Linked DNA regions of Caenorhabditis elegans. The protein of the gene in region 2 purifies or fractionates together with the protein of the main gene of each other region. This does not show direct contact. Each region holds a gene or a part of one and is shown on either strand. Other genes may lie near its edges.

Evidence for each region. Proteins that work in one complex are often made in the same cells at the same time.
Region 1: the proteins of T28D9.1 (region 2) and F42A10.5 fractionate together in Caenorhabditis elegans (co-fractionation; one large-scale study listed by BioGRID). This does not show direct contact.

Annotation. Positions count from the first base shown.
Region 1 is NC_003281.10:6,169,842-6,174,956, forward strand, and holds F42A10.5 (Protein CDV3 homolog), read right to left. Parts: upstream 2,960-5,115; 5' UTR 2,931-2,959; coding exon 2,707-2,930; intron 2,657-2,706; coding exon 2,194-2,656; intron 2,093-2,193; coding exon 1,961-2,092; 3' UTR 1,381-1,960; downstream 1-1,380. Other genes in the region: F42A10.9 (Gamma-glutamylcyclotransferase family protein), read left to right, coding at 812-951, 1,242-1,284; abcf-3 (ABC transporter domain-containing protein), read left to right, coding at 3,785-4,603, 4,743-5,115.
Region 2 is NC_003280.10:6,489,933-6,494,771, reverse strand, and holds T28D9.1 (uncharacterized protein), read right to left. Parts: upstream 2,371-4,839; 5' UTR 2,367-2,370; coding exon 2,245-2,366; intron 1,988-2,244; exon of another isoform or gene 1,855-1,987; coding exon 1,731-1,854; exon of another isoform or gene 1,683-1,730; coding exon 1,587-1,682; exon of another isoform or gene 1,382-1,586; coding exon 1,334-1,381; 3' UTR 994-1,333; downstream 1-993. Other genes in the region: twk-49 (Potassium channel domain-containing protein), read left to right, coding at 405-506, 553-736, 794-909; T28D9.11 (uncharacterized protein), read left to right, coding at 2,779-2,964; rsp-5 (putative splicing factor, arginine/serine-rich 5), read right to left, coding at 3,554-3,661, 3,707-3,785, 4,113-4,364, 4,416-4,603.

The DNA of each region.
Region 1 (5,115 bases), on a different chromosome or scaffold from region 2:
TTACTTTCAATTTTAAGTTTTTCAGTTTTGCACGTTTTTGTACTTACAGTTAGACATTAAAGATAAAAATGATTTTTTGTGATTTGATAAAAAGGGCAGATGGTGAATAATATATCAATGAGAAACCAATCCTATTATTTTTAATGAACATAATAAATCATCTGGTTGAGTAGATTCTTGGAATATAAAAATGAAATATTCTGATTTCCTTGAAACTTCAATCTGACCGAGCCGAATGTAATAGGTCAAATGTGACCAATATCTCTCAGACATTTATCACTAGCACTTTAAAATAGAAACAGGAATCAGTAGACTCTCTGAAGTTGAAAAAAGACCGACGGAAAAACTGGGAGAAAACTACGTGAAGAAATGGAAAATCGAGAAAGGCCTAGAGGCACCCAGAAGAATGGAGAAAGGAGAAGAAGGAGAGACAATGATGAAGAATGAGAGATTTAGAGAAACAGACAGAGTGTAAACCGAAAAGAGATGGGTGTGCACATTTGACTTGGATGGATGAATGGTTGGGACCACTTGGTGTTTTTTTTGGCTGAAAAATATAGAGGAAGTTAAAATAAAGTGTATATGAAGGAACCTATAATTATTGATTTAGGATATTTATGGAATAGATAATATGAATGAGCTCATTCAGACAGCGCGGGTTACTGTAGAAAGTAGACACGAAATTTTCAAAAAAAAATGTAAACGTCTTCGACCGTTTGTTTTATTTTTCATTGTTGAATCATAACAATACCAACTTACAAAACATATCTGAAAATGGGGAATTTCTCATTCAAAAACATGAAAATTTCAGATCAAACTTCCGTCTGGCACTACTGAGACTGCGTTTATCTATCTGCTGAAAAGCTGGCGCCCAGATCTACTTTCCACGTCATCCGAAATGATGACCAACTACTCAAGCCTCGGAGCTCATGGTAGACCTTATGTGGACAGGTAAGAGAAAAATGTGCCTTTTAAAACTAGAGTTAAATTAAATATTTCTTTGAAAAACAAATTCCAGTGATTTATTGAAAAATTACGCGCACGACTGGAATTTTCAGATACGTGCGCGCAAAAGAGATGCTTGACGATCTCGACGGCAGTTCGAACCTCTATCATGATATTTTGGGCGCTGAGAACCTGATCTACATCGAGTTGGCTCAGAGAAAAGCCGAGTTCGATTTGAAAAGTGGGGAAATTTACAAATAACTATTCAATGAACCTACATTTAATTTTTTTTGCAGCGAGAACCTAACCAACGAGAATGAAATGTACGAAGCAATGTGATCACCGAGTAACAGTTCCTCATCGTTATAATTTGAATAAATGAATAATAATCTGGGATTGAAAACACACATGCAAGATAACAAAGACGAGCACATTGGGAATGTATAAACGTTTATATGAAAAAGAAAAAAGGGAAACGAAAGAAAAAGACACCATGATTGAATCCGAAAGGGAATTGGGCAAAGAGAATATGATAGAGCACTTGTATAAATAGCACAAGTAGAAAAAGAGCAAAGTGCTCATGGGGAAAACATTTTGAAACTTTCTTTCGTTGAAACCGTAACCGACGACACGCGAAACAGGCGGATTTGAGATTTTTGGCGTGACACCGAAAATAGGAGACGACCTTCGAAATGCATAAGATTTCGAAAAAAGATACCAAAATTCGATTCACGTGAATTCTCAAACCACACCGTCCGCTGTCAACTACCCTATAAATTTCACGGGGTATTGTGGGTCGTTCAAGAATTGGTAGAGCAACAATAAAGAGTGAAGTGCGTTTAAGCACGAAATGATAAGAGAAATTTGGGACATAACAAGTTGATAGGGACGAAATTAATAATGTACTAAATTATGAGAATACTAACCAAAAAAAGGATATTATAGAATAAAGAAAAACAATGAATAAGGAAATGGGAACACAGAAAACAGAAGAATAAGAAAATAGTTGGGCCTATTATTGATTTTTCCTCAAATGTGGAGGAACGTACGATCCAGCCTTGGCAGCTCCCGAAGATGCTGGAGCAGCAGCTGCAGGGGCTGGTGCTGGCTCGTTACGCGCTGGAGCTGGATTGGCGGCGCTCATCATCTGAAACGTTGAATTTAGACATTTTCAAGAATAATAAAAATGATTTTTGATAGTTTTAAAACCTTGAAAACTTAGAGTAATTATTTTTCCTTGACACATACCTTGAGAGCTGCAAGAGCACTATCACGTCCACTTCCAGCAGTTGTCGGATACGATCTTGAAGACCCACTTGAAGATGGGCCCGAACTTCCTGGCCAAGCTCCACCGGATCCAGCTTTTACCCAACCTCCTGGTGATTTGCTCTCCTCTTTCTTATTCTTCTCAATTTTGCTTGCATCCGCTAATGATGGGAAGGCAGCGTCACTACCCATATCCAGATTTGCAGCAGCAGCTCTTGGTCTGTACGGAGCTCCTGGTCTTCTCATTGCAGGTGGCTTGTAAGCGGCAGCCATTGCTTTGTCACTGATCGTCACAGCTTGTTCCGGCTCCTCCGTCGCTTTCTTTTCACTGCTAACTTGTCCCCAAGTCTTTGTCTCATGAACCTCGCGATCTTCTGGTTCTTCGTTATTTACTTGATCTTGTTCACTTTCAAGACCCATATCTTTGATTTTCAGACCATCTAGTCTGCAATAAATGAGATATTTAAATGAAATCGGAGCGAATAATCTACTAACCTTCCTTGACTTTCTCCGTATTCAATCCATTCACTTTCTTCGTTAGGATTCACGGCCTTCTCCTCTTCTACCCGCTTTTCAGAAACATCCTCCGACTCTTGCTCATACTCCTCTTGACGCTTGGCTCTTCGTTCGAGTGCTTGACCGACTTCTTCGATTTTAACGGCGGACTTCTTTTTCTTGTCTTTCTTTTTAGCAAAGAAAGCGCTCAAATCGTCACTCATTTTGTGTTGTTGTGAAAAGCGAGTCGGAACTGAAACGTGGAACATTTAGAGAGTAAAATTATTTTGAACGGCCTAAAATGAAACGACAATAGCACAGTTTTCTAATATAGTGAAGTTCAAATAACGAATATGACATGTAAAGTTACTGTGCACAAAGAACAAATGATAGGAAGTGGCAAACTAGCTGGAATTTACTGAAAATGAGAAGAAAACGCGACGCAACACGTCACGCGCGTATCAGAGATTCATTGCAGTTATTTGGCAGAAGGCTGTCTTGACAATAATGAATTTGCTAATTGGAATAGTTTAGGCTTTTGGAGCTTCTAAATATAACTAACAAAAAATGAACAAAACGTGTAAGTTGAAGAGAAATCCAGCTAAAAATTCAGTTTCGCAACAAAAAAAAGTTAGAGACTGCAAACGCGCCAGGACGATTACTGGCGTGTATGGCGATTTTGTTGACGCATATCTCGTTTTATTCAGTTTTCTCTCACATTTACAGTATTTTCGGATGAATAAATTGCTTTTGGTCGAGTTTATAGCAGTTTACATGTATTTATTAAATTAATATTTTAGTCATTTGGATAATGATACAGTTTCCACCACCCAATAAATAAAACCTTACTTTTTTAGGACTCGTAGTGTATGCTAGAGGAATCTCACTTGGTGGACGAGCTAACAGCTTCTTTCATCTCCGATCAAACGTATTATCTTCTTCTGATTCCAAGTCTCATTCCGGTTTTCATCGTCTTTCACTTTTTCAATTGGCTGGGTATGATACGAGAAACGCAACTTATTTACGAGTGTGTTATGAATTTTTTCCAGGTTACGAGTTCTTCTTGAACAATTAAATAATGGCAAATGTTGAAGCAATTCCTGGCTATCTCACGGCCACTTTTCCCACACTTCCAATTGAGATCAAAGACTATGTCTCTGCAATTCTCAAAGAGAATTCCGATGAGATCACATCTTTAGATGAAGTTATGGATGCCGTTGGTGAACATCTTCAAGCTTCCGTGGAAAATCTTTGCGAGGTTGGAGCTAAGAATGCTTGTCAACAACTTCTGAAACTACTTCACGGAGACAACCTTCCAAAGGCTATCAAACAACAGGAAGCAACTACGAAACGTCTCGAGCAAACTGTTGACATGGCTGCTGAAAATCAAAACTTTGAAGCTCTTCAAAGCATCTGGAAAGTACAAACAAGAGATACTCCAACTACCGTTGATAAGAAGAAACTTGCTAAGGCCGAAGATCGTGCTGCAGCGAAAGCAGAAGCTCGTGCAGATGCACCTGTTGAACGGAAGAAGAAGAAGAATGAGCCATCAGCAACGGCTTCCCAAGCTCCAATTCGTGACTCGGGTGCCCGTGGAGCCAACTCAAAGGATATCAAACTGGAAAGTGTGGATATTTCTATCGGTACGAAACAACTTCTCTCATGTGCCGATGTCACAATGGCATTTGGAAGACGATATGGATTGGTTGGAAGAAACGGAATCGGAAAAACGACGCTGCTTAAAATGATTTCAAGCCAACAGTTGAAGATCCCCGCAGGTATTTCAATGCTGTCTGTGGAACAGGAAGTGGAAGGAGATGATACACTCGTTTTGGATGCTGTTTTGATGTCAGATACGAAGAGACAAACACTTCTTGATAGGGAAAAGACGCTGCAAGTGAGATATTCAGAAAATGATATTAATATTCAATGAGAATAATATGACAAAAAAGTCTGATTTGAATTCATTCCATTCTTGAAATATATATTTTTAATTTGAACAAAAATTAATTCATTTTTCAAAATTAAAATTTCAGAGTCGTATAAACAAGGACAATATCAATGACGCCGAGAAAACCAAATGGAATGACGAGCTTTCAAAACTTTACATCGAAATGGAAGCTCTCCAACTTGACAAAGCTCCAGCACGGGCTTCTTCCCTTCTTTATGGTCTCGGTTTCACTCCAGACGAGCAGAAGCGTCCAACAAAGGAGTTCTCTGGAGGATGGCGTATGAGAGTTGCCCTTGCCAGAGCTCTATTCGTGAAGCCAGATCTCTTGTTGCTTGACGAACCGACTAACATGTTGGACATGAGAGCGGTTTACTGGTTGGAAGGACATTTGCAAGGTTGGGAAGGAACTATTTTGACGGTTTCTCACGACCGTAAATTCCTCAACGAAATTTGCACGG
Region 2 (4,839 bases):
TTATTGTTCGAGATTGTTAGAATTTCATAGATCCCAACTGTACATGTGAAATCACACGGTACCCGGTCTCGAAACGACGATTTTTTGTAGAATGCGAACAGGTGCGCGCCTTTAAGGTTAATAAAAAATTGCATTGATGAAAAAAATCTATTGGAACATTAACATATAAATTTTAACACATCGTGAGAAAGACTAGGAAAAATCTACGATATAATTCCACAGCAACAAGAGTTTGCAACTACAGTACTCTTTAAAGGCGCACGCCTTTTCGCATTTACCAAATATTTGTCATGTCGAGACCAGGCACAGTATTTTTCCACAAAAAGTCGTATAGATAATACGTTTTCATTAATAATTTTATAAAGATGATTACATTTTTAATTTTAAAAAGAATAAGGTTTCAGTGGCCATCACTAACTCGTTCGCGTCGTTTCCTGCTCATTCTTGCGGCCTTTGGTCTCTTTATTCTCTGGGCAATCCTCATTGGCCTTTGTCTCTATTATCAGGTATCTTCATCATATCTGAGTCTCTTTGAATCTTATTGTTTTTAAGGTGATCAATGACTTCTGGCTTAGCATTTTACATGCTTTCACTGGATCTCTTACTGTCCAAATTCCAAGCCCCGCACAAATTACAACTTGCGGAATCCTGTTCTTGAACTTTGCTGCTACCATTTCGGTTTCTCTTCTTATCCTCATTCTACTTGTCTCGTTTTCCGTTTTCTTCCCAAAAGAAAGTGAGTTCAATTAAACCATTAGTAATTTAAATATCCCCAAAATATATTTTTCTTCAGTGCTAATTCAAGAAGTTGACAATGGAGTCGAGGAGAAGCTGGAGCGCCTCACACCACCACCAAAGTTCCAGGTCATCGTAGATGAAGCTGGAGAAAGCAAGCTTACCTCTGCCTAATATCTTAACTTTTGATAATTTATTTCGTGCTTATTGCTTCTAGATTTTCAATTTCAAAACACTTGTTTCTTTAATGCTTATGCAACGATTCTGCCACTTTAACTTTATTGCAGTGAGAGGTTGGATAAAACAATGTTAAAACTAACAAATACCTGGAGAGGGGAATCCGAATTAACTTAAACGGAACGATAGGAAAACCCCAACACCAGGGAGATGATGAGATTCTTTTTTTGATGAGGGAATTATCCAATATTAAGAAAAATCAAGATGGGATCAGCTTAGAGACAAAATAGAATTGTCGAAACATCGGACAAGTACATTTTTAATGGATTTGGTCAACATGTACAGATTGATGATAAAGATGTTGATTTTGAAACGGGGAATTTGAGGAAGGATGAAGTGGCATTTGTTGTTGGGAAGCAACCTATTCGGCGGCGACAGCTGGGGCATCTCCAGAGGCTGCGACGTCAACCTGCAAGGGAAATCGAATTATTGACAATGACATTGAATATTAGTCCCTAACGGAAGATGAAGCGATTCATAAAGAATTCATCAGAACTGCTCGTGTACATCGCACACATTACGCCCCGATATATCCCATAATTAGTGCTAAGTCGCATACGCCTATCCTATATCTTTTTAGAATGCCTAATTAGATTCCTGCCCTTCGTTCTCACCTCATCCTCAACCTTGCTTTTCTTGGTCAATGGAGCATCCTCCTCTGCGTCGGCGACTGGAGCCTCTTCGTGGGCGCTGGACACACGCTTACGATCCTGCAAAAATAAAAATTGGTCAACAAAAATAATATATAACTATCTTACGTTGCCGTTGGTGTCCTTTGCTTCTCCGTTCTCGACTGCCTTATCCTTATCGGCCTCTTCAGCCTCAGTCTCATTCTTCTCCTCGGTGGCCTCAGCTTGAGTCTCCTCTGTCTTTTCACCGTTCCTACAAAAATAGTATAAATTGTAGAGAAACGGATTAGTGCAATCTGTTGCCTGCTCACTACCCTACGCCGTATTTGTTTTCACCATTGCCGCCTGTCTTCTTTATGGCACCATGCCTTCTGCACACTGCACCAATACACATACTATGAACAAATAAAAGGGCATAGAAAGAAATATGAATGACCCCTCAGTTTTTCACAGAACAGTTTCTACCATTATGACCGTCCCACATTATTCACGTCTTACGAGTGACCTCGAAGGAAAACACCACTCAACGCCCGCGCGCAGATGGATACAAAAAAGTGGCTCGCGATTTCCATAGAATTGACCTATATACTACAGTTTTAGAAAAATGCACAGGTAAATCGCAAATTATGAAACAAAAACTCACTGCTCACTGGTCTTCTCATCAATCACAACGACATCGTCCGATCCAGTCTCGGTTGGCTTCTCCTCGACTGGTTCGACAACCTCTGGCTCTTGAGCGACAACAGTCTCGGCAACGTCGGACATTTTTCTGTAAAACAAATGTTAATGTAGTGCTGGTGAATAAATCTGAATGAGAAATAGAAGAAACATTTGAAAATATCATTGAGTTTTGAGAAAAAAATATCGAGTTATTGTATTAAAAATCTGCTACTGAGGAAAAAATTTTTTTTTAATTTAGATGTGTTGTCGTTTCAAAAACACAAACGATGTTCTAGAAAACTTTTTCCTAGGAAGAGCGCGAACAACTCTATCGCGGAAAGAGACATCTTATTATTTGGCTCTCGCGCCTCACAGGGCCCGGCGCTGCGCGCCCGTCCACCGTCGGCCTAGTCTGTGCCTGACACTCACGCAACGCTCACTGGACAGCTAGAGGCGGCCGGCTGGTCGAAGGAAGCGGTGTCCTACTCACACTCCTCAACAGCGGACGAAACGAAGAATGAGGAGGGGAGGAGAGCCTCAATGCGATGGCCGCGAGTTTCGAATTGCCTCGTCGCCGGCAAGAGAACGAGAGGACGACAACGAAACGGCCCCGCCCCAAACGTCGGCTGCGCAAGAGCCTCTCGTCGACTGCTTTCTTGGCACTGTGCCAAATTCATGCTTCGTGCGGTGTGAATTAATCTAAACAGTAATTATCAAAACGCGAGATTTAGTAAACATTAACTGTACAAAACTAACGAAAAGGGGCAAATACACACACACCGACAAATGTTCGACGAGATTTTTCAAGGAAACATCACTCGCAGGCTTTCAAAATTCGCCTTTTTTTCGGTTTTTGTCCTAGTTTGCAACTCTTTTCAATTTAGAGAATAGAAAACGATAAGCTTTTTGTTTAGAAAACTCGAAAATTTGCGTTCTATTTCAATATATGAGTATAAAAATTAGCTCGAAAATCTCGTAAAAGGTTTTTTCTAATAATAATGACTATAAAAAGTACAACGGCAATTTCCAGAACAGTAAAAATAACAAAGCAGTAAATTAGCCCAAAATTGCGTTCGACCTTCAAATTCCCCAATATTGTACAGTAGTTGAAGTAATCGTGGTGAGACCTGTGTGAATAATACCATGTGCCTTTAAATATTTTTAAAAAATGAAGGAAGTCTCCGCTCGGTTTTATTCGGGAATTATTAAAATCAGAACAGCTCTGAGGATGAACAAATATTATAAAATAGAAGTGGTAAATGAACAACAGTAAACGGTATAAAAACACAATTTTAATCCTTTGGAGATCCTGGAGACGGAGAGCGAGACACACTGCGATTGCTGCCATCTCGGCTGTGACTTCTTCCACGGCTCACGCTGCGCTTTCTATCTCCGCCGTTCTGAAACCATATGATTTTTACTATACAAGCACATAAATGAATTACCTTTGGGGGAGATCCACTTCGGGTTCTGCTTCGATCTTTTGCTGGCAGTGGTGAACGAGATCTCGACGCTTCACGCTTCCTAAAATATAATTCTTGCATTTAATAGAGTCGGAATCTAAAGGACTCGAATACGAAACCGATATGTTTGCGCGAAGTTGTCTGATTCAAAGTTAGGGATCTCACTCTTTTAATCGAAACAGCGGCTTTTGGTAACTGTGGGGACTGAACGAGAAGTGAATTGAAATGTATTGATAGTTGACCCATACTGTGCTCGAACTGTCTCAGCTATGTGTATGCCATTGCGATGTGGGCTTGTAGGTGATATTGATTTCTCATTGAACTGTGGCTAAAACGGTTCGTGATGTGGCACCCTTCCAAAACAATCCACACATTAAAGTTAACTTACAAGTCTCTTTTCGGGCTCGGCGAACGGGATTCGCTTCTGCGACGACTTTCACGAACTGGTGATCTGGATCTGGAGGAGCTTCTGGAACGGGATCTGCGAGAACGTTTGCGATCACGAGAGCGGGAACGTCTTCTTGGTGGAGTACGTGAACGACGTCTAGGAGAGCGGGAACGTCGTCGTGGTGATCTCGATCCATGACGGTCATTGCCGCGTGGTTTTCCGCGAGCCATTTCCACGACAAGGCGCATAGAGCTGAAAATAAAAAGTTAGAACATTTTTAATTTTGGTTTATTATTTTATTACCTTCCTTCCATGGTTTTTCCATCCAAATCATGGCATGCGTCTTCAGCATCACGAGAATCTTCAAAATCGACAAAGGCAAATCCATACTTCATTGAGATGTTATTAATTTTGCCATATCCTTTTAAGAATCGCTCAACGTCGCGTTCGCGTGCATTGTATGGAATTTTTCCTAGATAGAGGCGCGGCATTTCTGGAAAATCACTTTATATTCAAAAATTAATTTATTAAACGCCGTTCATTAAGCCCAGTAAAAAAAACACATGAATTCGAGAAATCAATCTCAATTTTAAGAAGAGAAAGTCCTAAGTCAAGAAAAAGAAATTCTATCAAAAGCGCACACATGAAAACGAGTGCGACCGTACTCCTAGTCGTTGCGAGACCACTTGGCATGCCGCCAAGTCTTTTGCATTTTCGAATGTGCTCA